2 linked regions of the Nothobranchius furzeri genome follow. The protein of the gene in region 2 interacts with the protein of the main gene of each other region in a pairwise test. Links are inferred from orthologs where the notes say so. Each region holds a gene or a part of one and is shown on either strand. Other genes may lie near its edges. The genes, in order: pam16 and fez1.

Region 1 (15,560 bases), on a different chromosome or scaffold from region 2:
TTATCTGGTTTCAGACGTCTGAAACACCAGCGCTACATAAATGTCACTGTGTGTGTGTGTGTGTGTGTGTGTGTGTGTGTGTGTGTGTGTGTGTGTGTGTGTGTGTGTGTGTGAGTGTGTGTGTGCGTGCGTGCGTGCGTGCGTGCGTGCGTGCGTGCGTGTGTGTGTGTGTGTGTGTGTGTGTGTGTGTGTGTAACACTGATCATGTGTCTGTGATCCAGCTGCTGAGTGCCATGGTGGCCAAGCTGGGAAACATGGATGACCCGCTGCCTCAGGAGTCCTTCGAGGGCGTTGATGAAGATGAATGGGTGAGTTTTCGGTAGTTTTCAGGTGCAGACGAGTAGAAAAACAACCCTGATTCCTGGTTTTTTTTTTCCTTATATTTTCTAAAAAAATACAACAATAAGGGCTAACTTTTATTAAGAAGAGCATATTAACTAAATATTAAACTGATACCATTTGAAGGAGGAGCTCCCCCCACCCCCCACCCCATCCCGCCGCCGCTCAAAACTTGAATTAATAACTGTTTGTTTACTGCAGTGTGTTAATTACAGGTTAGCTCAGTAACAAGGCGGGGCGGGGGTGGGGTGGGGGGGGGGGTTCCTAGAAGAGAACAAGAGTCGATTTTCATTGAAGGATTTGATTCAGATGACTCTTTTCAGAGAAATGTTGAAAAAGCCTGACCACTAACCAAACATTTAATTAAAACACAACTCCAAACTTCACCGAAGATAAATATAAACAGTTTTGTTTTTGCTCCCAGTTTTCATGAGCTGAACTCAAAGACTGAAGCATAAATGAACAGAAGATTTTAAAATCGCTGTTATATCCGATAACCAATATTTCCCAATATTTCATTAATATAAGTAGGGATGTAATAAAATAATGGTACACTAAAATGCCACAATGTGTTCGGAGAGCCCGTTTACAAAAGCAGTGTTTTTTATTTGATTTTATTTGGTTTTTTAACGAGGATTTCTTTTGTGTGGTGCAATTCCAAGTCTTACAGCTAGGTGGCAGCAGTTTTTACCACCTCCTAATAACGCTGAATGTGTTAGAAACGTCTGACCTGTTCAGTCAAAAATAGCAAATATTGTCTGACTTTTAGTATCACAATATATTCTGTCCTCGCTCTTGTATTTAAATTTTTATTGCATTGCCAGATTCCTGCAGATACACACCCCTAAATATTAGCAATATTTATAATTATGTACACACATTTACGGTTCTGAGATGACTACCCTCACTGTCACATGACATGACTAAAGAAATGTGCATCATGGTAAATGTCCTGTATTTGTATAGCGCCTCCTAAGGGTTCTGCAACCCCCCAAGGCGCTTCACAACACACCCATTCACACACACGCTGGTGGGGGTGAGCTACATTGTAACCACAGCTGCCCTGGGGCTTTCCAAACACTGGCGCCATCGGTCCTCCCGACCACCATCAGCAGGCAAGGCAGGTTAAGTGTCTTGCTCAAGGACACAACAGCAGCTTTCTCTGGTCAGAGCCAGGATCGAACCTACAACCCTCCGATTTACTGGACAACCCACTCTACCTCCTGAGCTGCTGCTGCCCCACCCACCTCACCCTCTGAAACTGATACACAAACGGCAACAAGATGGAAAAATGTCTCGGTTGTTAATATCTGCCCAGCTTGATTTGTCGAACCGATATAGATGCCGATATGTCGAGCATTCCCTAGTTAACAGTCTTGTCTTAAAGTGGATTAACTCTGATGTTTGTTTACAAAACAAACTTTGTGGGGATTTCTGCATCTTTGTTTTTTTACACGTTACATTATTTTTTATTTTTTAACGGTTTTCCTGGATTATGATGTTTGCTGTAACACCACAACAACCATGTTAGACTGAGTAAATCACCCCCTCTTCTTCTGCTCTCCCCGTCATTCAGGATGATTAGAGACGACGGCGTCTGGAGTCGGGGTCAGTCCTGCTGCCGACATCAAACAACTCAAGTGTTTTGTCGCCATTCCCAGAAATCCTCTGAGCTCCAGCAACAATGGCACTTCAACCAATTCACAACAGAACAATTATATGTAAGACTATAGAAAAAAGAATTCATTCTGACTAGTTGTTGATTAACATCATTTAACGGTTAATCAGACGTAGTTAAACAAAGATGTTAGTAAAACAATCACATGAAAGCATTGAAATCATGAACATGTTATGCATTAAAGTCAGTTGGATGGTGATCGCACCAACAGCCCTCCTCTTTCTGACACATAACTGGACGAGTTTTTCATTATTGTGTACAACGATTCACTTCCTCTGGTGGCCATCCTGGTATTCTGAACCATCCACGTGCTCAGAGTTAAAGTATCTTTCCGGAGTTTTCCCCTTTCAGAAATTATGATTTGTCAGAAATCCGTAAAAGTGATTATCTTATCATGTACTGTGATATAATGTAAGCAATACATCTTTTTTTTTCTGCTAAGCACGCCCCCTGCCCCGCAGAGCTCCGTGCAATAGGAAACTGAGTGCTGACCAGAACTATCCAATAGTGTTAGACTACCGCTTACTTGCGTCAAATTTAAGGAATACCTCGGCTGATGCGGACTTGATGAACTTTTCACGGACAAGAAAGTCTCTAAAATATAAATATATGAGAACACAACATGACATGAGAATAATACTAGTTAAACAACGTGTTTTAGCTGTTTGTCAGCTACAGAAGCACATTTATAAACAAGAAACGTGAAGTCGCCATCTTTAAAAAAACGGAAGGAGTGTGATATGCTTGTCAGCCACTAGATGGTGCCATCGGATAAGAGAAATACTCCGGAAAGAAGCTTTAATTATCGCTCTGATTTATTTCAGATTCAGACACAGCCGTGTCTTCCTGTTTGGTCAGATTAAAAACATTTAAGCTTCAGGTACAAAACCTCCTCTGATGAAACTAGGGGCGCCTCCAGAAAATTTTGATGGGGTGGCCAGATGGGGCCAAAGACATTTTTGGAGTGGCGCACCAAATTGATCATTGTGGTAACTCTGGTTGAATTTAGTCTGTGGCGATGTGCTGCATTGCGCCTTTGTTCTTTTTTATTAAAATAACATACGTATCCAAAACATTTAACTTAAATTTTACAAACATAAACTTTTTAGAAAAACACATTTCAGTTATTTAAAATGTTATCCCAAATTTTAGTTTTAAATGTATTTTTTTGTTTAATTCACCTGTTGCTGTGTTCACACAAAAAACTGGAGATAAATTTTTTTTAAATGGTGAGCAGCAGAAACATATGTATTTTTTTATTCTGATTATTTCCTTACTCATTAATTGTAATATTTTTATTTTGTTTTACAATCATATCTTGAATAAACTAGATAAATATATGGTTTGACTGAATATTAATATGATTTGTCAACACTGGCTTCTCCTGGGGGGGCTTGCAATTTTCTAGCCACCCCATGCCACCCCTTGGGGGCGTCCTTGGATGAAACAACAGGGTCATCTGTGTTCATGTTTCAACTGGAATTTTAAAAGTTAACATCATGTTTTTTTACAAGCCAAATCTGAAATGCCATTTTATCAGGATTATGTCGTGTTTTAGTCCGAGTTAGATTTTAATCTTTGTTCTTCCAGGAATAGACGTCAGGAAGAGGTAAAATAATCCATTGTGAGTTTCTAAGGAGATCTTTTATACTTCAAGAATGAGTTTTGTTTTTGTTTACTGGCTGCTTTTAACTTTTATTGTGGGATTTCACTAAACCATTTGGTTTTCTCTGACTGCTGGAATGTGGTGAGAAACAAACAGTACAGTGTTCTTAACTTCCATCATGTAGTCGTCACTCAGGGCTGCAGCAATAAGACCAGAGACCCACGGATGACCCGGCTTTTGTTTACATTCTCTTAAGAACTGGATCAATCCGGTTGGGCCAGCCGTGTGACAGGTGCCACGTGAGTTTATTTGGTGTTGACTGTACGTACTTGTGATGCTCAGAAATTGTTGTATTTGGATTGGAGTTACTTGCCTTCAATTGTGTGTTTTTATAAAGTGATTTGTTTTATGTTTCCTGTCTTTCTAGTGTAATGATTTGTGGACTTTTTCTAAATCTTCTAGCAATAAACACAATATGAACTCTGCTCCTATTGCTTCAGTGTAATTAACATGACAGCTACACACACACACTACCTTATACATTATTAAATAAAGCAATATTAGAAACAAATGTATAAGAATAATACCATACCACTTTAATAAGGCGTATTTTCCCACAGCGTGTCAGCTGCCCAACGCGCAGTACAACAAGGGTCATGAAAAAAAAATTAGAGACCAATAAAAAACTAAAAACACTGTGTGTGTGTGTGGGGGGGGCAAAACCAGTCATAATGAAATGTAAGAAGTTCACAGGTTAAAAACAACCAAACACTAAAACCGTCATAAGAAAGCCAGGGCACAGAAGTCGGCTTTTAGCTTTGCTGCCACAGGAGACGCCTGTTGTACCTCTAGCGGCAGGACACTCCATGTACTGGAGTTGCATACAGAAAGGCACGTTCACCCCTTTTCCTTTATCTCTTTTCGAGTGCAAACATAGACTGTACAAAGCAGCAGATGGTAATGAATATTTCCTTAACATGGTGTGGAGTAAGCATTTCAATAATTAATTACCTTTTTTTTATACGTTTTAGATTCTTACGTATCTGAAAGTGTCACCATTAAGTTTGTTTTGTTCTTTAGGATTTGGATTCATGTATGGTGGTCAGCTATTCATTTATTGGACAAATTAATCAGAATCTTTTTAAGAAACAGATCTACATGGTATCAGTTTGAGAAAACTTATAGGAAGTCAGCCATCAGGTTTGATCAAAGTTTTGTAAGACAGCATGATGTTTTGTTAAATGTGCAGATGCTTTATATAACTGGATCAAACCTCAGATTCCAGCTTACTGCACCTTTGTTGTGCTGCACGGTGGCGCGGTTGGTAGCGCTGAAGTTCACAGGTTCAAATCCCTCTCGCCCAGTGACACCAACTCCCCGCAACCCCTAATGAGGATGAAGCGGTTCAGATGAGAAAGATGGATCAGTTTTTAATTGTTTATTTTTTTTTATTATGTATAATTTTAGAATTGTTTATCTCTATGAAGTATTTTTGAGTCTTTTGTTTTACATACTTTCATCTTTTCTAATTTTCGTAACAACTGTTTTACAAGCAGAGCACAGGTGACCTTAGAAGCATCAGGCTGCAGTTAGACTTCCTCGCCAGCAGGTGTCGCTGTCTTAATAGTCACACCAAGACGGCCAGTCTTGAATTCGTAATGTTGCTTGAACTTTGACCTCCTTCGGTAACCTTCAGTACCCATGTGTGAATACAAGACTGTCGTCTTCCGCGGAGGCTAAGTATTATATTTAAAAATGGTAAGGTCACGTTTATGTGTTCTCGTTTATAGTCTGTTGTTGAAACTGAAACGTGAACAGAAGCTGTTGTTTTGAGATTAATTCGTGGTTTGCTGCAGCGCTAGCTTCATTATCTGATCAGATTTGGTTTTTAAATGTCAGAATATTAGCTGAGTGTCTCTAACGCGCTAGTCGTGTTGGGGTATTCAGCCTGAGTGCGACGTAACCATTAATGACATCCAGTCTATAAACTACCAGCCACGCGCCTCCTTTTGTCTTTATCTCATTCAGGCCAAGTATCTGGCTCAGATCATAGTGATGGGAGTCCAGGTGGTGGGCAGAGCCTTTGCCCGTGCTTTACAACAGGAATATGCAGGTACGACCCGTCATTGCTCGCGCGCATTTGTGTGTGTAATCATGTAGAACTTTGTATCTCCTCCATCAGCCAGTCAAGCAGCAGCTCGGGCCAGAGGTCGGACAGGTCAGCAGTCAGCTGCAGCCTCCAGCATCTCTGGGATGAGTCTACAGGAGGCTCAGCAGATCCTCAACATCTCCACTCTCAGTCCTGAGGAGATCCAGAAGGTACACACATTCTCTCTCTCTCTCTCTCACACACACACACACACACACACACTGGTGGCATTTTTTAGAAGCTCTCTGAGCGTGCTCTGTAATATTTAGTGAGAAATTTATTTATTTTAGTCTTGTTTTTATCCACTCATCATAGGTTGCATTTGAGAAAAGGATTCAACATTCATATACGTTCTTTAATGAACTAAATTAAAGTTTGTGTCCTCTCCTTCTGTTTGACCTTTTCTGATGAGCATCTAAAGACGTTTCTCAGCAGAAGAAACCACAATATTGCCGTTCATGACTATAATGATCCAAATGCTGATGGCATCCTAACCCTATCAAACTGTCCACTTAGGAAGCAACACTGCTGTTGTGCAAATGGAAAAGACAACAGGTGGAAATTATTAGCACTTCACCTGTAAGACATCTCCAATGAAGAAGTGGTCCTGCAGGCGGTGATCACAGAGCACAGGTTTTCGTAGAGCTCATTCTACTGAAACAGCTCTTCTTAGGGTCTCTAATGACCTTCTGGCTCACAGTGATGCAGGGGACTGTTCTGTTCTGGTCCTGCTGGACCTGACTGCAGCCTTTGAAACAGTTGACCATCACCTGCTTCTGGAGAGGCTGAGAGACTGGATAGGCCTATCAGGATCTGCTCTGGAGTGGTTCTCCTCTTATCTTTCTGAGCGCTCCTTTTCTGTGGCCATCTCCAAGTTTAGGTCCTCCACCACCTCTCTTACCCATGGTGTCCCACAAGGTTCTGTGCTGGGGCCTCTACTCTTCCTCCTCTATCTGCTCCCTCTTCAGCACATCCTGAGCTTCTTCAAAGGAATCTCCTACCATCTTTATGCAGATGACATCCAACTGTACATCTCCTTTAAGCCCCATGAGATGTCTAAGCTGCAGCTGTTACACACCTGCTTAGACTCTTATCAAAACCTGGATGGCTGGGAGCTTTCTACAGCTGAATGAAGATAAGACTGAGATCCACATCTGTGCTCCAGACAAGCTGGTTCCCAAAGTCAGAGACTCTCTTGGTCTGCTTGCTTCTCACACCAAACCTTCCGTCAGGAATCTTGGTGTGACCTTTGACCCAGCTCTCCCCCTGGACTCTCATGTCAGTTATCTTGTTCGCTCTTCCTTCTTCCATCTCAGGAACATTGCTAAGCTGAGTCCCATTCTGTCCCGTTCTGAACTTGAGACAGTTATCCACACCTTCATCTCCTCATGCTTAGACTACTGTAACTCTCTTTTCACGTGTCTGAGCAGAACCTCCCTGAACCGTCTACAGGTGGTTCAGAATGCCTGTGCTCGGCTTCTGACCAAGTCCTCCAAACACACCCACATCACCCCGCTTCTCCTCCAGCTTCACTGGCTGCCAGTCAACTTCAGGGTTCATTTCAAGATCCTGGTTCTGGTCTATAGGGCCTTACATGGACAAGCACCATCTTATATTGGTGATCTTCTTAGTCACTACACCCCCAGCAGGTCCCTGAGGTCCAGTGATCAAAGCCTACTGGTTGTGCAGCACCAGGCTAAAGACCAAAGGTGACAGATCATTTGCTGCTGTGGCCCCCAGACTCTGGAACTCTCTCCCCCTGAGCCTGAGATCAGTGGACTCAGTGGTCTCCTTTAAAAAGCAGCTGAAGACTCACTTGTTCAAGCTGGCTTTTGTGTGACCTTCTTCACCACTCTCTCTTTATTCTTTTCTCCCCACCTATTCCACCTTCCTCAGGATCCACTGATTTCCCTCTTTCCTATTCACTCTCTCTCTCTCTCTTAACATTTTTTAATCACAATTGTCTATTTTTTGCTCATTTTAAATATATTTTTAACCATTTTCTAAATTCTTTTTTATATTTTTACATTTTTTGTTTTTGTGAAGTGCCTCGTGATTTTTATCTTGAGAGGCGCTATAGAAAAGATATTTTCTTCTTCTTCACTTTTCAGTTCCTCTGCTTTCTGACTGATATTTTGGTCCCTTTTGAATGCTGGTGGTGCTTTCACTGTAGTGGTGGCATGAGGAGTCTGCAGCTCACACATGTGGCTCAGGTAGTGCAGCTCATCCAGGATGGCTCATCAGTGTGAGCTGTGGCCAGTAGACAGGCCAGCGCATCAGGAGGTGTGGAGGAGGCCGTAGGAGGGCAACAACCCAGCAGCAGGACTGCTACCTCCACCTTTGTGCAAGGATGAACAGGAGCAGTACTCCTTGTTATGCTCTTTCTGTTTCTTTTCTATTCGTGTTGATTTTTTGTTCTTGTCTAAGTCACAGATTAGCAAAGCTTTTATTTAATTTTGCTGACAGTTTCGGCTACTTCTGACGTCCACAGGTGGGGGTTGTGCTTACAGCCCAACACCGTGCATTAGCTACAGAACACCAAGATTGGCAAATTCACCACTGACACCCTTACTCTTCACAGATGAAAGCAGGATCACACTGAGCGCATATGACAGAGTCTGGAGACGCTGTGGAGAGCGTTCTGCGTCCTGCAACATCCTCCTGCTTGATTGGTTTGGTAGCGGGTCAGTAATGGTGTGGGGCGGTAATTCTTTTGGGGACAGCACAGCCCTCCATGTGCTCGCCAGAGGTAGCCTGACTGCCATTAGGTACTGAGCTGAGACCCTCAGAACCCTTGTGAGACCATGTGCTGGTGTGGTTGGCCCTGGGTTCCTCCTAATGCAACACAATGCTAGAACTCATGTGGCTGGAGTGTGTCAGCAGTTCCTGCAAGACGAGGGCATTGATGCTATGGACAGGCCCGCCTGTTCCTCAGACCTGAATCCCACTGAGCACATCTGGGACATCATGTCTCGCTCCATCCAGCAACGCCGCGTTGCACCACAGACTGTCCAGGAGTTGGTGGGTGCTTAAGTCCAGGTCTGGGAGGAGGTCCCTCAAGAGATCATCCACCACCTCATCAGGAGCATGTGTAGGCGTTGTAGGGAGGTCACGTGGAGAACACACACATACACACACACTACTGAGCCTCATCTTGACCTGTCGCAGGACCAGCCTGTGGTTTGTTTTTACACTTAACTGTTAAGAGTGACTCCAAATCCATCCCATAGATGGTTTTTGTGTTGCCAGCACATCCAGCTATGTAAAGAAAAAGTGTTTAATAAGAATATTTCATTCATTCCGATCTAGGGTGTCTTGTGTTTGTGTTCCCTTTATTTTTTGAGTGTGTTACTGAATTATGTGAACATTTTAGGAGCTTTGCTCCGTGTTCTATTGGTGATGTTTGACTTCACAGGATTGCGTTCATGAACCAGTTTTTCCTTAGATGGGTGGTCCATGGTCAAAGGTCAAAGGGTTTATTTAGTTATTTGACATTTGCCACCAAATGATTTAAGTGAATGTCTGACTGTAGAAACCTTAGTGTGTGTGTGTGTGTGTGTGTGTGTGTGTGTAGCATTTAAAATATTTTATGAAGTTACATAATATTGCTGAGGTCTGTAATTCTGCATACAGAGATGTAGGAGTGTGCATGTTTAAAGCAGTGGTTACGTTACTTGAATTCTGATGTTTTTATGTCCTCCAGAACTATGAGCACCTGTTTAAAGTCAATGACAAGTCAGCGGGCGGGTCGTTCTACCTCCAGTCTAAAGTAAGTGGCCCTTACCTTCAGGCTGCACAGGTGCAACCCTCTGTAGCATTAACCTGCTCATGGGGTAATACTGAAGCCTTGGATACTTTTGGACTCTATTATAACTGAATTTTAGAAAGTAAACTCCTAACTTTGCTTCCCTTTCAGTCTAAAACTTGAGATTTTCTGGAACTTTTTCACTGTTGAATCAACTTATTTTGTCTGGATGATCCGTTTAAATTTGGACTAAATCCAGTTGTTGCTAATCTTCCTGTTGGTGTGATGACAGCAGGAGTTTGTGTTTCTGCGGGTTTTACAACATCTCTCGTTACAGAAGGATGTTTTTCTGTTAAATGTTTAGATGTCACAAAGCTTTCAGTCCCTGACTCTGAAACAAAGGAACCCGGATGTGTGATTCCTCAAAACGTTGCTGCCTTTAGAAGAAAAACCCCTTGGGGGTTTTTTTGCTGCAGAGCAAATTCACGAATGTAAAAAATGTCTGATTGTGCGTTAGTGGATCAAAATACGAGCCGTGGTTGTTTTCTCAATGATGTGGTTGTGTGTTTATAATCTATTCACAAGTCTTTCCATCTGCCGTTAGACTTGTGAATAGATTATAAACACACAACCATGCTCGTCTTCTGTACTTGACATAACGTCACGTTATCGGCCATATTACCATTACCCGCCTTTTTTATAGCAAAGTTTTATGCTAGTTTATTATATTTTATTTTACTTTATTCTACTTTATTCTATTTTTAATTATATTATTCATGTTATATGTAGCACGTTAGTATCGAAGCAAGTTCCTAGTTTGTGAATTGTTTGTTCACTGACGATGGCAATAAACCTTTTCTGATTCTGATTCTGATGTCTCCCATTTGTGTTCAGGTGGTCCGAGCCAAAGAGCGTCTGGAGGAGGAGCTGAATATTCAGACACAAGAACAGAAACAGTCGCAGCAGAACTCAGAAACATGAGTCATTAGCCCCCACCCCACCCCCCATCCTCTGTAAATTATAACCCAATAAAGCCCTCTCCTTCCTAGTGCTCGTGTCTGAGTCCTGGTTTCTCTCTTTTTATCCAATATCCTTACGTGTTGGACTGAAACGCTGCTCTGCTTTGTGCTCCTAACTTCTGTTGGAACAAAAATGGAAGCAGACTTATCAAATGCAACTTTATTAAACATTTGTTGTTTTCATTGACATTTTTTCTTATATCAATATCGTAATAAAATTCCTCTAGAACAGGAGAACGCTGCTGTGTTGTACCAACTGGAGACTTTACAACTCTAAAATTCTGCATGTTCAACACCGGAACATGGTTCAGGAAAAATATAGTTTCGTATGGTTCTTTTATTATAGTGTAGAACTTTTATATTTACCTATAGTAAAAAGGCACTTGGAAAAATAAAAATACTGACATAATATCTCACAAATGTGCAAAAACATGAGCTGAACAAGCCTTGAATGGCCCTGGTCTCGTCATTAACCCTTTGTGCAACACTGTGGCACTTCCAACACCGGTCACCTCTGGCCTCCCAGTGTCCCGGATCTTGGCTCTGCTTCTTGTAACATTGAGTTTGGGTTGCTTTAACATCTCCAGGAGCACGTACCACTCATATAACATGAAATCAAAAAGGAAAAATTATTTCAATGTAGTCATGTTGAGCAAAGTTTTCACAATTGTTCATATTTCCCAAACAACTGATCGTAGATGCAGATTAAACAACAACAAAGACAGCATCCCCATATCCATAGTCTACACGGGGAGGGAAAGTGCAGTTTCATTACAGACTGAGCTCAAAGGGTTAATGGGGCGTGCTGCTTAGTTAACATTGAACTGGTGTGGACCCAGTTTGGATCCGTGTCATTCTGCAGGTTTCTGCTGCCGGGCTGAGTCTCTGTCCCTGGCGTCGGCCAGCAGAGGAGGAAGAGGGGAGCCGCCTCATCCGTGGGTTTCACTGTTGCCATGGAGACCATGTCTGGCTTGGCTAACGCCTGCTCCTGGTGACATCACATGCCAGGCTGGTCCATTCAGAGACAAATGACTCTTTTCAGTAGCTGACCTGAAGCCGCTGTGTGTGTGTGTGTGTGTGTGTGTGTGTGTGTGTGTGTGTGTGTGTGTGTGTGTGTGTGTGTGTGTGTGTGTGTGTGTGTGTGTGTGTGTGTGTGTGTGTGTGTGTGTGTGTGTGTGTGTGTGTGTGTGTGTGTGTGTGTGTGTGTGTCCTGAATGCAACATTAAATTACATTCATGAGTTTATCTTTCTGCATCAAAGTTTAGTTTGCAGGTGAGAACTGAGCGTGAGGTTTGGTCTACAGAGAAGATCGGAGAGCAGGAGGAGGTCAGTGGCCTAGTTTCCTGCGTGCTGGTTTGAGAGCGGCTGCCACACTGGGCACCGGGCAGCCATCGACTTCAGAGAGGAGCGTTTTCTGGGTAGGTGGCCAGATGGAGAGCAGCAGCAAAGGATGAACCCCCCCCACCCCCCCGTCCTGGCTCCCAGCCCCGGCTCTCCTGTATTCCTGTCCTTCATCCACTCACTCATTCAGCCATTCTCTTTGCTCTCGCACTCCTCCAGCTCAGCCATACGATTCACAGTTGGAGGTCACCTCTCTACGTTAACCCGTCTGCATTTGTGAAACCGTGTAAAATAGCTATTGAAGATCTCCATTACGCTCACACTTTAAAAGTAGTGAACTAACGTGATTGTCAGGAGGGAATATGGTGTCATTGGACCCGCTGGATCACATTTGTCTCTCAGAGCAGTGGTTCCAACTGGGCTTGCGCCTTCTGAAGATACCACTTATTTATGGCCTTCAGAACTGTAGAAAATGTCCCCCAGTATGCTTTTTGTCGTGGTAAATATCAAACAGTACCCTAGGTGTGTGAATTTTGAGACATTTTAGGATATTTTTACATGAGGAGTCTCTGATTCAACAAATGTTTCTCAAAATTTTCAGTATTTCCAACATGAATCTAGTTTCTAAATAAGTTTAGATTGTTTTTTCTTTTTCAAACACACCCAGTTACGTTTTAAATGTACACTGGCCTTTTGTGTTCTATCATTAAAATGTAATCATTTGTTGTGCTTTTTGACTTAGCTCAGCGGCTAACAGGTTCCTACGAAAACAAACCAGATGAATGTCTGCAGAAATCTGAACGGAGGCCCAAAATACTTCAAAACAGGTAATAAATTCTCATGGAAAAAATTTTGTTAGCTATTTGACATTTTGTTTTTTCTCTGGAGTCCACACTTCAGGTTAGGATCCACTGCTCTGGACTCACTCACACACACACACACACACTCACTCCCTGACTTAAACCCCTCTAAAGACCCGACAGCAGAAAGCTGATGCAGAGCAGCCAAAACTCAGGAAGCGATATCAACATCACAAGAAAATGTCTCGTCTGAGCAAATAAAAATACGACAGAAATATAAAACAGTGACAGGTGGGTGAATCGCCCTTCAGACGGGGAGAATCAGAACATGATCACAGGAGGAGTAAAGGAGCGTCTTTTCAGGAGAGTGTTCTTTGTTTAGAAACCCTCCTCCGCTGCCCCCGTCCTCCCTCGCGTGGACACGGCAGCGATATGTGCAGAAAAGTCAAATAACAGCAAATCACTGTTTAAAATAGAAACAGGAATCCAAAGGGAGGTTTTCTAAACTCTGATAAGTGCAGGTCGACTGTTTGATCAGACCGTGACAAGACGTTCCCCACGAGAGCTTTAAAAATCTTTCTTTGCCCCTTCGGACAGATTAAAATGAGGCAGTTTGTCAGTGTGGCGTCCTGTGACTAGTCCGGCCGTAAGCAGCACAGAGCGCCCCCTCCAGGTTTTTTTAGTCACAAGATCTCATCTAAACTAGACCACCTGTGTCTGGTTTTGGGGTCATTTCAGTCGTGAAACCACTAAAGGCAGTGGTGCTTCTCACCACCTGGGTTTTACGTCTAAACTGGTTGACCGTACAGGATGTTGTTGATCACGTCCGGCCAGAGGGGGGAGTCAAACGCACCAGTGCTTTACATTTCACTTGTGTAAAAAAAGGAGAAGCAATAATTGGTCACTGTCAGGTGGTGGAACACCGTCTGTCTGTTAGTTAGGTCTAAACCCTAAAAGCCCCTAGTCTGCACACACCTGTGGACTAGTCTGGTCTGTGTCGGTCACCCTCCCCAAACCGGGGACAGATTGTCGAAAGAAAAGTGCTCGTTCCCAGTTTGTGTTGCACTGGGGGAGCAGAGAGGTTAGCAGCAGTTTTGAGGTTTCAATACTTTAACCAGCTGACACCATTAAGTGCTCTTGTTAACGCTGAGCTGCCTTCCGAACAGATAGGACAGCCTGAGTTCACTTGCTTTGGTTCGGCAAGCTTGTCTGAATTATATCGCACAGAAACCTGTGAAAAATAACTTTAAAGATGAAAAACCTTCCTATGAGTGCTTCAGTCGTGGTGTTTGTGTCTCACTGCTGAGCTGGAGGCACCTTGTCAAAGTACAGTCACATAAATATGTAAGATTAGGAACACAGAGCACTGAGACGGCCGCGTTTGCGGTCCTCGTCCACAGAACCACCAGGAATGGATGAAGTATCAGACAAGAGGAGCCTGTTCCTAAGGCCTTGTGATGATTACAGGGCCCTACGTGTTCCTGGATTCACTTCCTGGGTCCCAAGTTTAGTTCTCCAACAGTCCGAGGGGAGTGTGTTGGATAGGTTAGGGTGTGAGGTTCGGAGTTATCTTCTTGATGCACGGCCACAAGTCGATTGTTCCACCCGACCTCCTGCTGTCCCACGATGGCATGGACCCTCCCCTCCAACCCCCTGAGCTCTTCTGGAATGTGTGTGTGTGCGTGCATCTATGCATGTGTGTGTGTGTGTGCGTGCATCTGTGCATATGTGTGTGTGTGTGTGTGTGTGTGTGTGTGTGTGTGTGTCAGTTAACCACAGCTGGCTTGAGCACCACAGCGCCTGGAGGGATGACCACCCAGGACAGGGGATCATGAGACCCCCCTGTGGAGAGGTTTAGGACCCCCCCACTTAGCTCGTCCTCTCCTTCCTCTCCTCCGCCTCTCTTCAGCTGGTGGCTCTGTGCCCGGCGCTCGGATGTGGGCCCCATCATCGGAACCATGGGCAGGCTGAGGGGAGATGGGAATGCATGGGACAGCAAAGGAGCCTTGGCCAGACCCAGAGGGGAGCCGCTGAAGGACAGGATGGGTGGAGGGGAGTTGGGGCTACCCAGAGTGCTGAGGTCCAGGGGCCTCGGGCTGAGGGGTGACAAGGGCAGAGCACCACCCAGGCCTTGCAGGGCGTGGCCTCCCAGGAGAGCAGCTGTTGCTCCAGGAATGATAATGTGGGCTCCGTTCATGTAGGACAACTCTGGATCTTTAGCACCACCGCTAGCTAGCCCCCCACTCTGACTCCCCTTCAGCATAGAGCCCACCCCACCTGGGGAGCCCTGCTCCTGTGCCACAAAGTGGCCGTGGGCTTTGATGTGCTTCCTCAGTGAGCTGGGATCCGTGTAGCGCTTCAGGCAGCCTACCATCTTGCAGTAGTAGGGCTTGTCTACGTAGTGTGTGCGCGTGTGTTTGAAGCGGTCGCTGGAATTGGAGTAGCGCTTGTTGCAGCCCTCATAAGGACAAATGTAGGGCTTCTCACCTGCAGTGACGACACATTTACCACATCAAACCCTTACACGTGCAACAAGGTCTTCTCTGGGCTGAGCTCTGACCTGTGTGTGAGCGGTTGTGTATCTTGAGGTTCTCCAGGCGCGAGAAGCTCTTGTTGCAGGTGGGACAGCGGTGAGGCTTCTCGTTGGTGTGGGTGCGAATGTGAATGAGCATTTTGTACCTTCAGACACAAGCACACACACACAAAAGACTACTTTATCACGTTTTTTATTCGTCACACAAATCCAGATGAAAGATGTTCTCACCGAGCGTTGAACCCCCTCCCTCTGCGAGCGCAGCCCTCCCAGTGACAGCAGTACCCAGAATCCTTCTCCGGTTTGACGTGAAAGTCATTGACGTGGTCCACGAGGTCTTGCAGGGAGTC
Region 2 (16,251 bases):
GGACGGTGGAAGGAATACTTTGAGGAGCTCCTCAATCCCACCAATGCGCATTCCGAGGAGGAACCAGAGCTGGGAGGCCTGGGGATGGACTGTCCGATCTCGGGGGCAGAAGTTGCTGAGGTAGTCAAACAACTACACAGCGGCGGAGCCCTGGGGGCGGATGAGGTTCATCCTGGGTATCTCAAGGCTATGGATGTTGTAGGGCTATCATGGTTGACACGTCTCTACAACATTGCGTGGTCATCGGGGGCAGTTCCTAGGGAGTGGCAGACCGGGGTGGTGGTCCCCATCTTTAAGAAGGGTGACCTGAGGGTGTGTTCCAACTATAGGGGGATCACACTCCTCAGCCTCCCTGGAAAGGTCTACTCCAAGGTACTGGAGAGGAGGGTCCGATCGATAGTTGAATCGCAGATAGAGGAGGAGCAATGTGGTTTTCGTCCTGGCCGTGGAACTGTGGACCAGCTCTATACCCTTGCAAGGGTGATGGAGGGGGCATGGGAGTTTGCCCAACCAATCCACTTGTGCTTTGTGGATTTGGAGAAGGCTTATGACCGTGTCCCCAGGGGCACCCTGTGGGGGACGCTCCAGGAGTATGGGGTGGGTGGCTTTCTGTTAAGGGCCATTCAGTCCCTTTACCAGAGGAGCGTGAGTTTGGTCCGCATAGCCGGTAGTAAGTCGGACCTGTTCCCAGTGAGGGTTGGACTCCGCCAGGGCTGCCCTTTGTCACCGGTTCTGTTCATCACTTTTATGGACAGAATTTCTAGACGCAGCCGTGGTGTGGAGTGTGTCGAGTTTGGTGGCAGGAGAATCTCGTCTCTGCTTTTTGCGGATGATGTGGTCCTCCTAGCTTCATCCAGCTCTGACCTTCAGCTCTTGCTGGGTAGGTTCGCGGCCGAATGTGAAGCGGCTGGGATGAGGATCAGCACCTCCAAATCTGAGACCATGGTTCTCGACCGGAAAAGGGTGGCTTGCCACCTCCGGGTCGGGGGAGAGGTCCTACCTCAAGTGGAGGAGTTTAAGTATCTCGGGGTCTTGTTCACGAGTGAGGGTAGGAGGGATCGGGAGATCGACAGGCGGATTGGTTCGGCGTCTGCAGTGATGCGGACGCTGAGCCGATCTGTCGTGGGGAAGAGGGAGCTGAGCCAGAAAGCCAGGCTCTCGATTTACCGGTCGATCTACGTCCCAATCCTCACCTATGGTCATGAGCTTTGGGTAATGACCGAAAGAACGAGATCGCGGATACAAGCGGCCGAAATGAGTTTCCTCCGTAGGGTGGCCGGGCTCAGCCTTAGAGATAGGGTGAGGAGCTCGGACATTCGGGAGGGACTCGGAGTAGAACCGCTGCTCCTCCGGATCGAAAGGAGCCAGTTGAGGTGGTTTGGGCATCTGGTCAGGATGCCTCCTGGACGCCTCCCCGGGGAGGTGTTTCGGGCATGTCCTGCCGGCAGAAGGCCCCCGGGTTTACCCAGGACACGTTGGAGAGGTTACATCTCCAATCTGGTCCGGGAACGCCTTGGGGTCCTGCCGGAGGAGCTGGTGGACAAGGCCGGGGAGAGGACGGCCTGGAGCTCCCTAGTTGGGATGCTGCCCCCGCGACCCGGACCCGGATAAGCGGAGGAAGACGAAGACGAAGACGAAGACAACAGCATTTAAATAACTATGTTTGCTTTTCTGATTTTGTAATGACATATTAAATTGTGATTCTCGTTAGATCGTTGTCATAATACAGCAACATTTGAACTCTGGTCAGAATCTCCTTTTAGCCCACGCCCAGGAACTACTGTCAACATGTAGCAGCACTAAATAAAGCAAAGTTTTAACATTGATAACACAGTATCGCTGCACCAAAAGGATCCGGTAGTGAAGTCCTGTAAAAGTGGAAATGTGCCGTTTCACCAGTTGGGAGCCATTTCCGAGTGTGGTTTGTGTCGGGAATGTTGGAACAGAGGAGCTCAGCAAGAAAGGGCTGTAAGGTGATGGGCAAATAAATGATGCTGATGGTGTGGATGGTTGGAAAACATTCGGAGCTCATGCAGGCTGCGCCAGAGGTGAGTTTGGTTGAAGGTAGGAATTCGCAGCCACAATGCAACCCTTGGTCTGGCGGTACTTCAAGTTGGGCAGAGGACTGGAAAGGAACACAACAGCATCTTCTTCAGTAGGAAGATTTGTTGAACATCTGAATTTAATCAAAGGGAATATCACCAAATGTGAAGTTTACCTTTTAATATGTAATCAGTCAGCAGTGTGGGCACCTTCTCGCTGTCCTCCTTCATAGCATAGAGAACTACACAGAAGGGCAGGTCACTCAGTGACTTTACACTTTCTCACAAAAAGAAGAAACTAAACAACAAATCAGTTAGAGGCTTACTTTTTGTGAGCACCTGCAGGTCATCAACAGATGGAGGGATGGCTTTCTTCTCATATGGAATCACAGTGTTTAGATACTGGGAAACAAAAACAAATCACATTTACCGCCAAAGCCATACAGGGCTGTAAAACAGAAAGGCTATGAGAGATCAAATTACGCGTGTATAAAGTGTTAGCGTCAGGTGTCACAGCGTGTTTGTGTGGAAAAACATCCAGGCATCCAGGTCGTGGTAAAATTCTGCAGAGAAAACTCTGCAGGTTTCTTGTTAATGAATACACAGTAAATAATAATAACACAATTAAAATTAATAAAAATTAAATAAAGTAATAATAATAATACATGAAATTTGTTTTTATGTAAATAAATATATAAATACAAAGAGAAAGCAATTTAATAATAACTCTTTTCATTATTAGAGTAATACAAGTCCTTCTCAAAAAATTAGCATATTGTGATAAAGTTCATTATTGTCTGTAATGTACTGATAAACATTAGACTTTCATATATATTAGATTCATTACACACAACTGAAGTAGTTCAAGCCTTTTATTGTTTCTAATATTGATGATTTTGGCATACAGCTCATGAAAACCTCAAATTCCTATCTCAAAAAATTAGCATATTTTACCCGACCAATAAAAGAAAAGTGTTTTTAGTACAAAAAAAGTCAACCTTCAAATAATTATGTTCAGTTATGCACTCAATACTTGGTCGGGAATCCTTTTGCAGAAATGTCTGCTTCAGTGGGGCATGGCATGGAGGCAATCAGCCTGTGGCACTGCTGAGGTGTTATGGAGGCCCAGGATGCTTCGATAGCGGCCTTAAGCTCATCCAGAGTGTCGGGTCTTGCATCTCTCAACTTTCTCTTCGCAATATTCCACAGATTCTCCATGGGGTTCAGGTCAGGAGAGTTGGCAGACCAATTGAGCACAGTAATACCATGGTCAGTAAACCAGTTACCAGTGGTTTTGGCGCTGTGAGCAGGCGCCAGGTCGTGCTGAAAAATGAAATCTTCATCTCCATAAAGCTTTTCAGCAGATGGAAGCATGAAGTGCTCCAAAATCTCCTGATGGCTAGCTGCATTGACCCTGCCCTTGATAAAACACAGTGGACCAACACCAGCAGCTGACATGGCACCCCAGACCATCACTGACTGTGGGTACTTGGCACTGGACTTCAGGCATTTTGGCATTTCCCTCTGCCCAGTCTTCCTAGACTCTGGCACCTTGATTTCTGAATGACATGCAAAATTTGCTTTCATCAGAAAAAAAGTACTTTGGACCACTGAGCAACAGTCCAGTGCTGCTTCTCTGTAGCCCAGGTCAGGCGCTTCTGCCGCTGTTTCTGGTTCAAAAGTGGCTTGACCTGGGGAATGCGGCACCTGTAGCCCATTTCCTGTACACGCCTGTACATGGTGGCTCTGGATGTTTCTACTCCAGAATCGGTCCACAGCTTCCGCAGGTCGCCTAGGGTCTGGAATTGGTCCTTCTCCACAATCTTCCTCAGGGTCTGGTCACCTCTTCTTGTTGTGCAGCATTTTCTTTTCTGCCACACTTTTTTCCTTCCCACAGACTTCCCACTGAAATGCCTTGATACAGCACTCTGGGAACAGCCTATTCATTCAGACATTTCTTTCTGTGTCTTACCCTCTTGCTTGAGGGTGTCAGTGATGGCCTTCTGGACAGCAGTCAGGTTGGCAGTCTTACCCATGATGGCGGTTTTGAGTAATGAACCAGGCTGGGAGTTTTTAAAAGCCTCACCTCTAAACTACCTTAGACCCTGCGGTGTTCCCAGTGTGAATCCCAGTGGACCCACACTTCTATCAGCCCTCTGCTTCTACATAATCCAAGTCAGAGACACATTAGCTTTGAATATTTCTCTCTAGTCCCTCAGTCCATGAGCTCTAAAAGCTTTTAGCCCATCAGACCTCTAACCTCACGTGCCTCCTATCCCTCACACCTCCAGCCTCATCCATCTGGTCTCAAGCTTCTCGGGCCTGCTACACCTCAGAACTCAAACTCTTCTCTTGTAACAGAACACCACTGGCATGAGAGGTTCTCCGCCCAATAACATGAGAGAAGGAGAAACAGCTGGCTGCTACCACTTCAACTTTAGGACAAACTACCCGAGTCCCAAGAAGAAAAACGCCATTTGAAGTCAAGGACAACAAAAGACGTTTGAACGTTGCAAATGGCAGCTGGTGTTTAGCATTATCTGGTTATGCACAGCAGTGCAGCTTTCTAATTTGGGTAGAACCAGGGAAGATACCTGAGAATAGGGGTGAGTGTTCCATGACAGTGTTTGCATTCAAAACCTAGCTTGTTTGCAGAGTCGCTAAATAGCAGATTTAACGTGTTTTGGAACTTACCTGCTTCTCTGTTCCCGGGACTCCAAAGGTCTGTCTAATGCCAGTCTGCAGAATGTTGGACAGGCCCTCCATGCTGAAACGCTACAAGGTAAAACAAGAAGCAAACAAAAACGTTTATTCTGAATTGTCCATGTTTTTCATCGGGGGGTGGGGGGTAAAATGGCTTTCCCATACATGGGGTGCGTAGCTTCATATTTTTAAAGTAAATTAAAAATGCTTAAATTTGACTATGTTACTTTGTTCTGATACAAAGTAGATGACCTTTCATCTTTTTTATTCCCCTAAAGTCCCTATTATGGCCTCTACAGCAAAATGAATAATTTATGCAAGCCTACAGTAGAGGGTTGGTTTGCAAAGCCACACGAGGGAGTTGTCAATCTAAGAAAATGTGCCTCAGTCAACTGAGAACACCAACAGAGAAGAAGAAACGCCAGACATAAAATGGAGCAACCTGAACAAGTACTGGAGTTACCTAATTCTCGACTGCTTTCTACTTGTTAGAGAAAATGTGAATACCTCATGGGTATCAAGCTAACGTATAAAAACAAGTCATCAGTTGACTCTTAAATGATTGCAGTAACAGCGCTTGCCTATCAGCCATCAGCAGACTGGTCCCTAGTGAGGCAGCCATCACAGAGACCTGCTCACCTCGTTTTACCAGCGGTGGGCAGTCAGGGCCAGCAAAGCCTTCTCTGCTGGCCTAAACTTCCTCAAAAACGTAAATGTATTTTTTCCTTTGGTAAATATTTTTAAATCAAAAAATTTTCACTGGTCTATTTTCTTTATATCCTATTATACCCACTTGGTTGCGCTGCTTCCAGTGTTAAAATATCAAGGTTGGGTATTATCCAATCAGATTTCAGCTTTTGTTTTCAGGCAGATTAAGTCTGCCCTAGGCCTTCAGCATCAACCGAGCAGTCCACTGTCCACTGCAAGTGAACAGAGACAATCCAGTTGCGATAGCTAATCAGCTCACGAGTCAGCGTGGCCCACGCAAAACTTGACATGAACGCATCCTGTGATTGGATAAGCGGTAGTTTGAACTTTTCTAGCTCCATTAAGCAAAATATCAAAACTAAACACAGAGATTTGTATCTATAGACAGCCATCATGTATTTTTGAACACCTGATGGCTGAAATAGGAGAAGGGACAGACTTGGTTGTAAATTTACTTGCCACACCATTTTCAAGACGGACCTTTCAAGTAAAAGTGGATCTTGTGAGAGCAGGTCATCTGACTCCAATGCAAGCTGGCTTGTCCCAGCAGGGGAAAGGACTTGTTCGACATTTTCAGGCAAGCAACTATGAACGGTACCCGTGGCTAACAGCTTCAGAGAGCCGCTGCAAGTTATTCTACTGGGAATGCCTGTTGCTCGCATCAGATCGATTTGGTATTTGGAGATTTACTGGGTTTGCCAATTTAAGTTGTTTCACCAAGGCAACAAAGCACGGCTGGGCACATACAAGCTACGATGCTTTTAAAAACCTTTGGGGACACCCGAGTGGATCTGCAGCTCAGCAAACAGGCGCGCAGGGACACGGAGCTCCACAACGAAAAGGTAAAGAAAAATAGGGAGATTTTGAAAAGGCTGATGGATTGTGTCATGCTTTTGGGTAAACAGGAACTTTCATTTAGGGGACATGACGCTGACTTGCATTACCACCTGTCCACCATCAGGGTCTTTACTGGGACATCAGGCAGAATACAAAACAACCTCATTTATGCTATTGCTGAAGTGATGGAAGATGAGATGAAAATGGAGATCAGAAGAGCCCCTTTTGTCACCGTGATGGTTGATGAAACACCGACGTGAGAAACATGGCACAGCTGGCACTCGTCCTGCACAGCCGCAGGTGTCACGGAGCATTTAGTCAAATTTGTGGATGTAACTAGTGGCAGGCGAGCTGATAAACTTGACACACTTATTTTCCGTAATCTTGAGGAATATGAATGCTGTTTGGACAAAGTTGTTGCACAGTGTTACGATGGCGCAGCGGTGATGGCATCTGGACTAAACAGGGTGCAGACTAAAGTTAAGGAAAAGGCACCCTCCTGCGCCAACATGTTCAATTGTTTCGCTGTGCCATTTTCTCCAAAACAAATGCAAATAATGTGTTTGCTTAACTTATTTATTTTAGTGACTCATCTCTTAAACCCGTCTTTCATTTTTGAGATTTGACAGTATCCGTGGTCTTAGTTTCCTACTCCCAATTGTGAATGCGAGTTTGATTTTAAAGGCTCCGGAAATTAAGTGTCTTGACCAGCCACTGGTGTGTGTGTGCATGCGTGTGCGTGTGCGTGCCTGTGTGTGTGTGTGTGTGTGTGTGTGTGTGTGTGTGTGTGTGTGTGTGTGTGTGTGTGTGTGTGTGTGTGTGTGTGTGTGTGTGTGTGTGTGTGTGATTCTGTAAGGATTCTCCAGCTGTGATGTCATATTGATGGTATTTTAAGGTGCATTCGTTTAGATTGGACTGAATAGGAAATCACTGACGGCCCAGGGGTGGAACGCACCTCCCGCCACTGTGTTTTACACATGGTCCATGGGACAGTGAACAATTCTAGCCCAGCTGACCGAAGTGCATGAGACGGAGTGTATCTGTTTAGCAGAGCTGTTAGATAGGCCTTGTAAACATAGGATGGGATTTTAAACTGAGCCCAGTAACACACCGGAAGCCAATGCAAGGGCACCATGATGGACACACACACACACACACAAAGCAATGTATGTAAGACTGATGCGCAAAGCAGCATTGAGTCAAAGGAACGGATTGGTACCACTTATGCTGCCCCTGGTGGTGGAGGCAGTAGAAGGCAGTCTTGCCCTTTATTTATATATTTTATAGTTGAGATTGGACTCTACTTTTACACCTGATTCTATGGCTCATACAGAAATGGTGGTTATGGATGCTGCCTGAGTCTGGTTAGAGTAGCCAAACATAATGGCTTTGGTGTTCATTAGTAAGAGAAAGTTGTGTTCTTTGTGTTCTTTCCACACCTTTATCTCCCTCAGGTACTTGTGGGAGGAGATGGGAGTGAAGATGATGGAGATGATTGTAGAGATGGAAATGAAATGAAAACTAAAAGCTGCTTCATCATTGTGGAATCAATATGATATTTTTCATCTATTGTCCCACCTTGACAGGCATGGTGCTTGTCTTCTCTGAGCCTCCAGTCAATCCACAGCTCCCCCCGTTGGTGGACCCTGTTCCTGCCCCTTGCAGGCTGAGGGTCTTGTTTTGACATCTGCGTTTTCCGCTCTCTCGTTGCTCCTTCTGCCTGTTCTGCACCTCCATTAGTGCTGTTATGAATGTGTTCTTCACCTCTTTTTCAAACTCCAGCTCATCTCGACGTGCCAGTTGGTTGACCAGCTCCTCTGAGTACTCACAGATAGCAGACTCCACCCGCTGCAGCAGCTCAGCAAGTGATGGATCAGACATCAAACTCAGACCTACAGGATGGATTAAACAAGCAATGAAAAGGAAATTAGTGAGTCTGTAACAGGAATCAGGAACCAGGGTAAACAATCTGACACTTTTAGAGTTCTACAGCAGGACCACAACCAGTCTCACACTCACTGGCCCAATAAGTAGCTTTTAGCCACCGTTATAGTCGATGGGTTTGTTCAGTTCAATTCAATTCAATTTTATTTATATAGCGCCAAATCACGTCAAGAGTCGTCTCAAGGCACTTCGCATAATAAACATTCCTATTCAGGTCAGTTCATTAAGCCAATCAGAAATAATGTTTCCTATATAAGGAACCCAGCAAATTGCATCAAGGCACTGACTGTTTGTTTTCACCGGCTGCAAAGCAGGGCATCTTGGACGAAGAGTAATGTCACGTTGCTCCACTAACTTTACATTTATGTCTATGTTTTATGTGTTATGCTTCCAGAATGCATCAAGCTAAGCAGTTCTGATTGGGTAGAGAGGAAATGAAACATGGCAGTAGTGTAAAATATCCTGCAACTTTCAAAATAAAAGACACACTTAGATTTCCTATTGCTTAACTGGATAAAAAGATACGTGGCCTCTGTGGCTCAGAAAATTCACCATGGAACTTGTGGGAACATGCTGCCATCTTTCTCCTGGCATGTTATCATGTGACCTTCCAGGACTAGCTGCATCGAACACATCTTCACACCTGAGTGGTCCCAGTGGGATGAGACGCCCCTGCGAGTTCCCGGTGAAAGCACGTCTATTGTGCTACGCACCGCTTACGCATCTAGCGGAAAGCTCGGGTCAAACTTCACAAGCACAGTAAAACTTTTAAAAATTATTTAAAACTATTAAAAAAGAGAGTGAAAAGTTAAAAGGAATAGAAACGCATGATGCTGGTTATCTTACGTCAGATGAGAAAAAGTGGACACAAAAAATTTGTTATTTAATGGCCAGAGTTTCTATTTCTGAAAACTTCATAGAAGTAAACATATACATTTTAAAAAAGTGTAATTTTTTTTTTCGTAAAAAAAAATTATTGAGCCAACAACATGAACAACAAAACATAATTATTGTGATTGACCTTCATGGGAGCAGTTGTTGTTGGAAGCTTCTGACAGCTGTCTAATCTCCTCTATCAAGGAGGGGTTAATCCTGGAGGAGCAGTGGCTGCTCTCCTCATCATCATCTTCCTCTGTTTCAACAGGATCTGGTGAGTTCTCCATCATCTCCACGATCTCCTCAATCACCTATAGGAAAGAGAGAGACAGAGGAAATCTAAGGATGGACACAAAACTGATGGGAGAAATCTGTAAGACAGATAAGTTTGTAGTGTCCATATGTCAGGAGCCACAAGAATGCTAAAAGCTTCCTCTGTAGCGGTGGATGTCAGAGTTAAATCCATTATTAATGTCTGCACAGACGATGGATGTCTGAGCTGCTCCAACAACACCGCGGCGTACTGTCTGTCAGCAGGTTAATCTTGTTAGATGGAATTACTTTCAAATAAGTGAAGAAAGTCTCAAAAAAGCAATGTTTTGAGTTTGAGAGTAAAGTACAACACAAAGTAAAATAAGTACACAGTTTCTCCATGGAAGTTCACGTGAGTGGGAGCTCAGCATTGATTTTGTTTATGGGTGGAGCCTATTCCAGCATTCAGTCCATTTTACAGGAAGCCAGACATGATGAGCACAGCAGTTGAGCTCAGAGCACAGGAGAAGGCTGCTCAAGTACTTGAGATCAGCTTTGGTTTCTGGAAGACAAAACACGTTTCCAGGAAGAAACTTATTTGTCAAACTGCTCTGTTCATTGTTGAACTTACACACAAACTCCAACATGTGAATGAGAAACTTTCTGATTGGAAAAGGTAATGACCCAGCATGCTAAACCCAAGTTTAAATACAGAGCTATGCTGTCAACTATAAATCACAACGATGCACTTTGTTCATCACTCTGTGTACCGCTGAACTTGACAGCACCCGCCATGACATGACTTCTCTGTTGATGGACTACTTCCAGTCTGTCATCTACTCCGTTCCCTCTACTCCCTTACCCTGTCACCAAGGCCGTTTCCAAATTACTGAGGTTGGATAATTACTGCATAGGCGACTATCTTTCCGCTGCAACCAATAATTTAGCCCCAAGTGGTGCAATGAGTTTCTTCTTATTTCTTAAACAACCGTGGTCGTGGAAAATATGTGAGTCTGTGTGAGAAGGGTCAGATCACTGGCATGCATCAAGCAGAGAAAACATCTAAGGAGATGCAGATATGACTAAAACTGGGTTAAGAACTGTCCAACGCATTATTAAAATCTGGTCTGATGAGTCCAGGTGGACCCTGTTCCAGAGTGATGGTGCATCAGGGTAAGAAAAAAGGCAGATAAAGAGATGCACCCATCATGCCTAGGGCCTACTGTACAAGCCTGTGGGGGCAGTGTTATGATCTGGGGTTGCTGCAGTTGGTCAGGTTTAGGGTTAGCAACAGGATGTGCTCCAAGAATGAGGTCAGCTGACTACCTGAATATCCTGAATAACCAGGTTATTCCATCTTCCCTGATGACACGGGCGTATTCCTGGATGACAATGCCAGGATTCATCAGGCTCAAATAGTGAGAGTGAGGGGGGTCATACTGACCTGATCTGCTGTGATGAGAGGTTCTTCATTCAGGCAGTTGACTTTCTCATTCTTCACATTCATCTCCTCCTGTTTTTCTTGAATCTAAATAGTGAGAGAGGAAATAACTCACATCCAGGAAACTTCTCAGTGGCCTGGTGGTATCGGTGTCTGCCTGAGACTGAGATCAGGGTTCAAATCCAGTTGGGTCGTATCTACTCACACTCCCTGCATGACACTCAGCCCTAAGGGATTGGGGGGTTAAACATGAGCGCGGCCACTGCTGCAGCTCACCGCTCCCCATGGGGATGGGTCAAATGTGGAAATGTAATTTAACCTGTGTGTGATGATGACTAATGTGACTTTTACACTATGACTATATTTGTATGTGTGAGAGGGATTAAAGGGGTGAGTTTACTTTCACAATAGTAACATTAAGCTTAATGTTCAAGCAATTAGACAAAAATAGCCTAGATGTTTTGAGTTTAGCTGTAGTTTTAATTAATTTTGGTAGGGAGGGGACATACAGTAAATATACACAATAAAACGTCGTGCCATTGGAACATCTTGAACAATTCCTGGTGTAAAAACATACTATTGAGGAAAGGCTATAAATCACGGTGAGGTATGTCACTGCACACCATACTGGAATTAGTTATGTAATTAGGATAACCATTGGGTGTCATTTTTTATTGAGCAAAAAGGTGGATGTGACCAGCAACAGCTTGTAAGGGAGTCCTGAAATGGCTCATTCTGGAAGGTACTGAAAATGTCAAGACTAAAGCTGGTGAAATCTTGCAAATCTGGACAAATCGTAAAGAATTTACAACCATTTTTGTACACACCGATGGCTTTATAAAATAAAGTCATAATATGCCCCTTTACAGTTAGTCCAGCAATGGTGGCATTCCTCAGAACATGAACATGAAAATATTAATCTAATCTAATCGCTATGCTCAAACAGGACAATAGCAAGTGTTTTTATTGCTATCTTGAAACAAATAAAAAGAAGGGGTGGCATTTACCTCCTCGTCTGAAAGATTTCCATTGTGTCCATCAGAGTTGGGGCTGTCCCATGTGGAGATGTAGTTGTCAGTTAGGGCGCCCCACACACTGTGGCACGATACAAGCATAAATCACATTAAGGGAGGCAGGGGCCAAACTAACAAGAATGAAGCCACTATTGTAAATTGAGCAGTCAGAAAGTTTTTTTTAACAGGATAAACATGAATGAGTGATGTTTACTAGTTCATGTCAGTGCAAAGAAAAGTAAAAAGCTTCTATCTTCATCTTCAAGTTAAAAGTGAGTCACCTTTGTCTCTGAGCCTTTCTGTTTAAATTGTTTTCTTCCTACTGTTTTGAGGTCTTGGTTTGGCTAAACTGCAACACTATTTAATCTCTATTTAAAGTGCAAGTCACCCCAGAATTTTTTTTTTTTTTTTTTGCTGTAGACACTTGTAATCAATAATTTTGCAATTTAGTGCATCTTAGTTCAAATTTAAATATCCATCCATTCATTTTCAGCCACTTATCAGGAATCGGGTCATGGGGGCAGCAGCCTAAGCCGAGACGCCCAGACTTCCCTCTCCCCAGCTACTTGGGCCAGTTCTTCCGTGCGAATCCCAAGGCGTTACCTGGCCAGCCAAGAGACAAAGTCCCTCCAGCGTGTCCTGGGTCTTCCCTTGGGTCTCCTCCCGGTTGGACGTGACCGAAAAACCTCACCAGGGAGGCGTCTAAGAGGCCCGATGCCCGAGGCACCTCAACTGGCTCCTCCAACTGTCTAAAACTGTCAGTCTCGCACCCTCTTCAGGTAAAAACTCTGCACTGTATTAGAATTTGCATCTGCTATTGGCTAGGAGATAACCTTTGACTTCAGCTTGTACCATAAGGCCTGGGGCACACCAGAGGCGGACGCGCCACGGCGCACCCGCGCTGTAATTTTTAATAAAAGCCATTTTAGCTCATGGGAGTGGGCACATGGGGAGCGCTGCACCGTGTCCAAGAAGCGCCGCGCCGAGGCGCTGAAGATAGGCGCTGGCTCTATCTTCAGCGCCGCGGCACAGCTGTTTACAACATTGTGGAGTACTTTACAACAGACATTACGACGCTGGAGCAGTTTTACAGCACAAACCCAGCCGCAGGTTTGAAAACTTTAAAGTACTATTAATCTTAAAATATTTTAATAAATAACGTACTTACCCACTGTTAATAAATTAGAGTCTCACAAAACACGAAGACAAGTCTGATCACGTCTAAACGATAGACTCCCTTTCCGCTTCCTATTCTCAAGTCCCGCTTGATGTTGTGACTATCACTTTCCAAGAAGCGCTCAGCGGCGCGTCCTGTGTGACCATTCGATTTCTCAAAACCATCAATATGACAAAGTTCCTTAGGGTGCCTTTAGCTGCCAGTAAATTTAGCACCACTTTTGGGTTATTGGAGTCCCTCTCCTACCCTAGTGCACTCACAAACACCCAAGTATGCACACAACAGCCAAAGTGAAGATATCTTAATCCCTCCATGATCAGAAAGCAAATAAACTATGTGTAAAGTTGCAACTGGCTGATTAAACGTGACACTAAAATTCAAAAATCCCTTTCTAAACTTAATTTCCTGACTTGGTTCATCTCCCATGATGTTCTCTTGTTTTACAGTGTACATTACAAAACATGGCGACTTTCTAAATAAGGTGACATCATTTAGGAATATTTGAGGCAGCCAATGACTACTTCTGTATGGAGGAATTGGGAACACTGCACGTAAAGCATCAAATTCTCATAAGCCCAAATCTGACCAAATCAAATCTCAGTTAGTCTAACCAAATTTCCTCTGATGACCATGAATCAACATAAATACGTAGCGGTATACAATATAATGTATAAATGGCTGTAGATTAATGTAAAATAGATTTTAGATAGGGGGTCACTAACTCTTCATCCTGCAGCTGCTCCTCATCCTCCTGGTTGTGGGACTGACTGCGAATGGGAGCCAAGCCCTCCGTCTTGGTGTTGTAGTTGTGGAAGCAGACATTGAGCTTCTCGTCAAACTGATTGACCAGGTCCTCCATTGATTTGAAGCTCATCATCTCAGAAAAGTTTTCTAGCTCTGAGAAGTCTTCACGGTTGATGGGGAGGAGAGGGACCGTGGTGGTGGAAGAGTAAGAGGAGTGGTTGAGAGCAAGATGGTCCAGCTCATCCATCCGACAGGGTCGGAGGTCTTCAAACTCCTCATCCAAGCACACAATAGGGGCTTCCATCATGTCTCGCCTCAGTTTGTTGTCTAGACCCTGCACAGAACAATGAAAGTGGGTTGACTGAGTCACAGAAACAAGTAGAACAAGAGTAGGCACATCCCTGTGATGCTCAGGTTTGGTGAGGGTTTTAATTGTCAGAGAGAAATTTTGGAAATCTTGCACTGGTTGTTCAAAAGCATAAAGTCCTGATGTTCATGACTGACTTTTGCTCCATGACCCCACCCCGCTCTCAGGGAAATTAACATTGGATGCCATGATAAGGTGCTTCTTCCTTTAACTGCAGTTCTGCATGATTTTCATTCATTCATTTACTTAGGGACAGTGTGCATTAAAGATAATCTTACTAAATATTAATGGACTAATGGAAATCCATTAATGGAATATTAACGGAACATGCCAAATTATAGCAGAAATGTTAATTTACATCCACAGTCCCTAGACAGGTCACACAAAAGCATTATAGGACATAGAACAGGACACTGGAGACGGCTCTCCCTTGTACTACCTCCAACATGCCACCATCTAAAAGGCTAGGTTATCCAGGGTTATCTCTGTAGTTATGCTGCTATAGGCTTAGACTGCTGGAGGACACACTGACCACTTTCCACACTCGACTACTTTCTTCTACAATTTGCTCTTTAACTGTATTATTTCCTGCTATTTCAGCTGTTAACTTAATTTTCTCTCTAAGTGTTTTTCTCCCCAGAAGAAGCTACAATGATGTTCCGCTGAGCTGTGGTGGCCTCATGGAGGGGGCCATCGGCTTGAACACTGCTGCTAACCATTTAAACATTCTCCCTCTCCTGATGATAAGTTTTTACTTTAACTGCATTGTTGGTTCTTTTTTTTTAAACACTGTAACGTCCAGCAATGGTCAGTTTTTAGGTACAGTTTGACCATTCAACACCTATTCAACGTCTGGTCAAAAAGGAGACACAAGACTGCATGTGTTCCCTTTAAACTGGCCTGCCTCCATCCCACCAGCTGGAGCTCAGAGTCTCTGCAGCTCTAAACTCAGATAATGAAATGTCAACAATAACATTCTCTCCTCAAGGTCCAATCTTTCAGGTCTTCATGCCTCCATATAAGGAACACTCCAGCTCGGATCAGTTGCTAAATCAAAGAATGATTTACTAAATTAAATATGAACTTCTACAACCTACAAGTTAGATAATCATTAAATAAACATTTGTTTATTGCTACTTATAATAATTATAATATAATGAATTGTTTCATTAATCTGTGCTCAAGGATTGAAGTGTGAAATGAATGTTATGTTATGATTACAGTGATTGAAATATGTTTCAGCATGTTGATATGATGAGGTCATCACCACTTGCACTCACACAAGGACAAAGTAAGGTTAAGTTAAACCCATGACACATAAATAGTCTTTTACCCCAGATCAGAGCATTTGTATCAAAGAAGGCATGTTTCTGAGGTTGTCTTAGTAACCATTTCTCAACTTGTCAACCTTTGGTTGGCTACGCAAATCATAACATGAGAACATTAAAACTGGATCACTCTGGTGATTCAGCAGTTCTAGAGAAGCTTCAGGCCGGCCATCTGAAGCAAACCCCTCTTTAACCATCAAAGATTTTGACACGTTGTCAAAATCTTTTTGCACCTGCGGAGCTGATACACAGTTCCTGCAGAACAAGCTGATATTGTTTAGACTCCTTAAGAGTCCCAGAAGCGCGGTTCCATCCGTCTGTCATGACCCGAGACATCTCTGGACCGAAGAGTCGGTGCCACGGTATTCTACAGCCCTTCGGTTCCAGAGCTCAGCCGACCTCTCTGACCTTCGGATCCACCAAGAGGGTCTCCGAGAACGGGTGAAGTAGACACACAGATAGCATCTGGTGTGCTTTTGATAATAATCAACTTCATAGCTTAACGCAAACCAAATTCTTTTACATCCAGAACTCAGCTCGATAAGGGAGTTCTGACTAACACATCATTCACACATAGGTTCATACATCACCTTTAGTTCCATCCATCACAGTAAATGTTAGTTAACTTGTCATGTTTTAATGGTTTGTAAAATAAATTATTACTTTTATAAACCTGACTCTTTTCTGAATCAAAACAAAGTGTTTACAATCCCCTAATAATTAAAGAATCCTAGATCTTCTGATAAGCACAGAAAGACCAAGCTGGGTGATATTCTATATTTAAATAGAGTATCACAAGTCGAAGACACACAAGAGCAG

The links.
Region 1: the proteins of fez1 (region 2) and pam16 interact in a two-hybrid assay, tested with the Homo sapiens proteins (2 studies listed by BioGRID and IntAct). The link is inferred for Nothobranchius furzeri from reciprocal best matches to the Homo sapiens genes FEZ1 and PAM16.

Annotation. Positions count from the first base shown.
Region 1 is NC_091752.1:57,758,075-57,773,634, reverse strand, and holds pam16 (mitochondrial import inner membrane translocase subunit tim16), read left to right. Parts: upstream 1-5,256; 5' UTR 5,257-5,378; coding exon 5,379-5,381; intron 5,382-5,651; coding exon 5,652-5,736; intron 5,737-5,805; coding exon 5,806-5,942; intron 5,943-9,475; coding exon 9,476-9,541; intron 9,542-10,411; coding exon 10,412-10,498; 3' UTR 10,499-10,565; downstream 10,566-15,560. Other genes in the region: zinc finger protein GLIS2b, read right to left, coding at 14,443-15,164, 15,238-15,356, 15,442-15,560. UniProt on the Homo sapiens protein: Regulates ATP-dependent protein translocation into the mitochondrial matrix. Inhibits DNAJC19 stimulation of HSPA9/Mortalin ATPase activity.
Region 2 is NC_091750.1:44,549,506-44,565,756, forward strand, and holds the end of fez1 (fasciculation and elongation protein zeta-1), read right to left. Parts: intron 14,072-16,251; 5' UTR 14,045-14,071; coding exon 13,716-14,044; intron 11,899-13,715; coding exon 11,811-11,898; intron 10,891-11,810; coding exon 10,807-10,890; intron 9,422-10,806; coding exon 9,256-9,421; intron 8,183-9,255; coding exon 7,869-8,182; intron 4,818-7,868; coding exon 4,737-4,817; intron 2,445-4,736; coding exon 2,369-2,444; intron 2,285-2,368; coding exon 2,219-2,284; intron 2,126-2,218; coding exon 2,109-2,125; 3' UTR 1,917-2,108; downstream 1-1,916. UniProt on the Homo sapiens protein: May be involved in axonal outgrowth as component of the network of molecules that regulate cellular morphology and axon guidance machinery.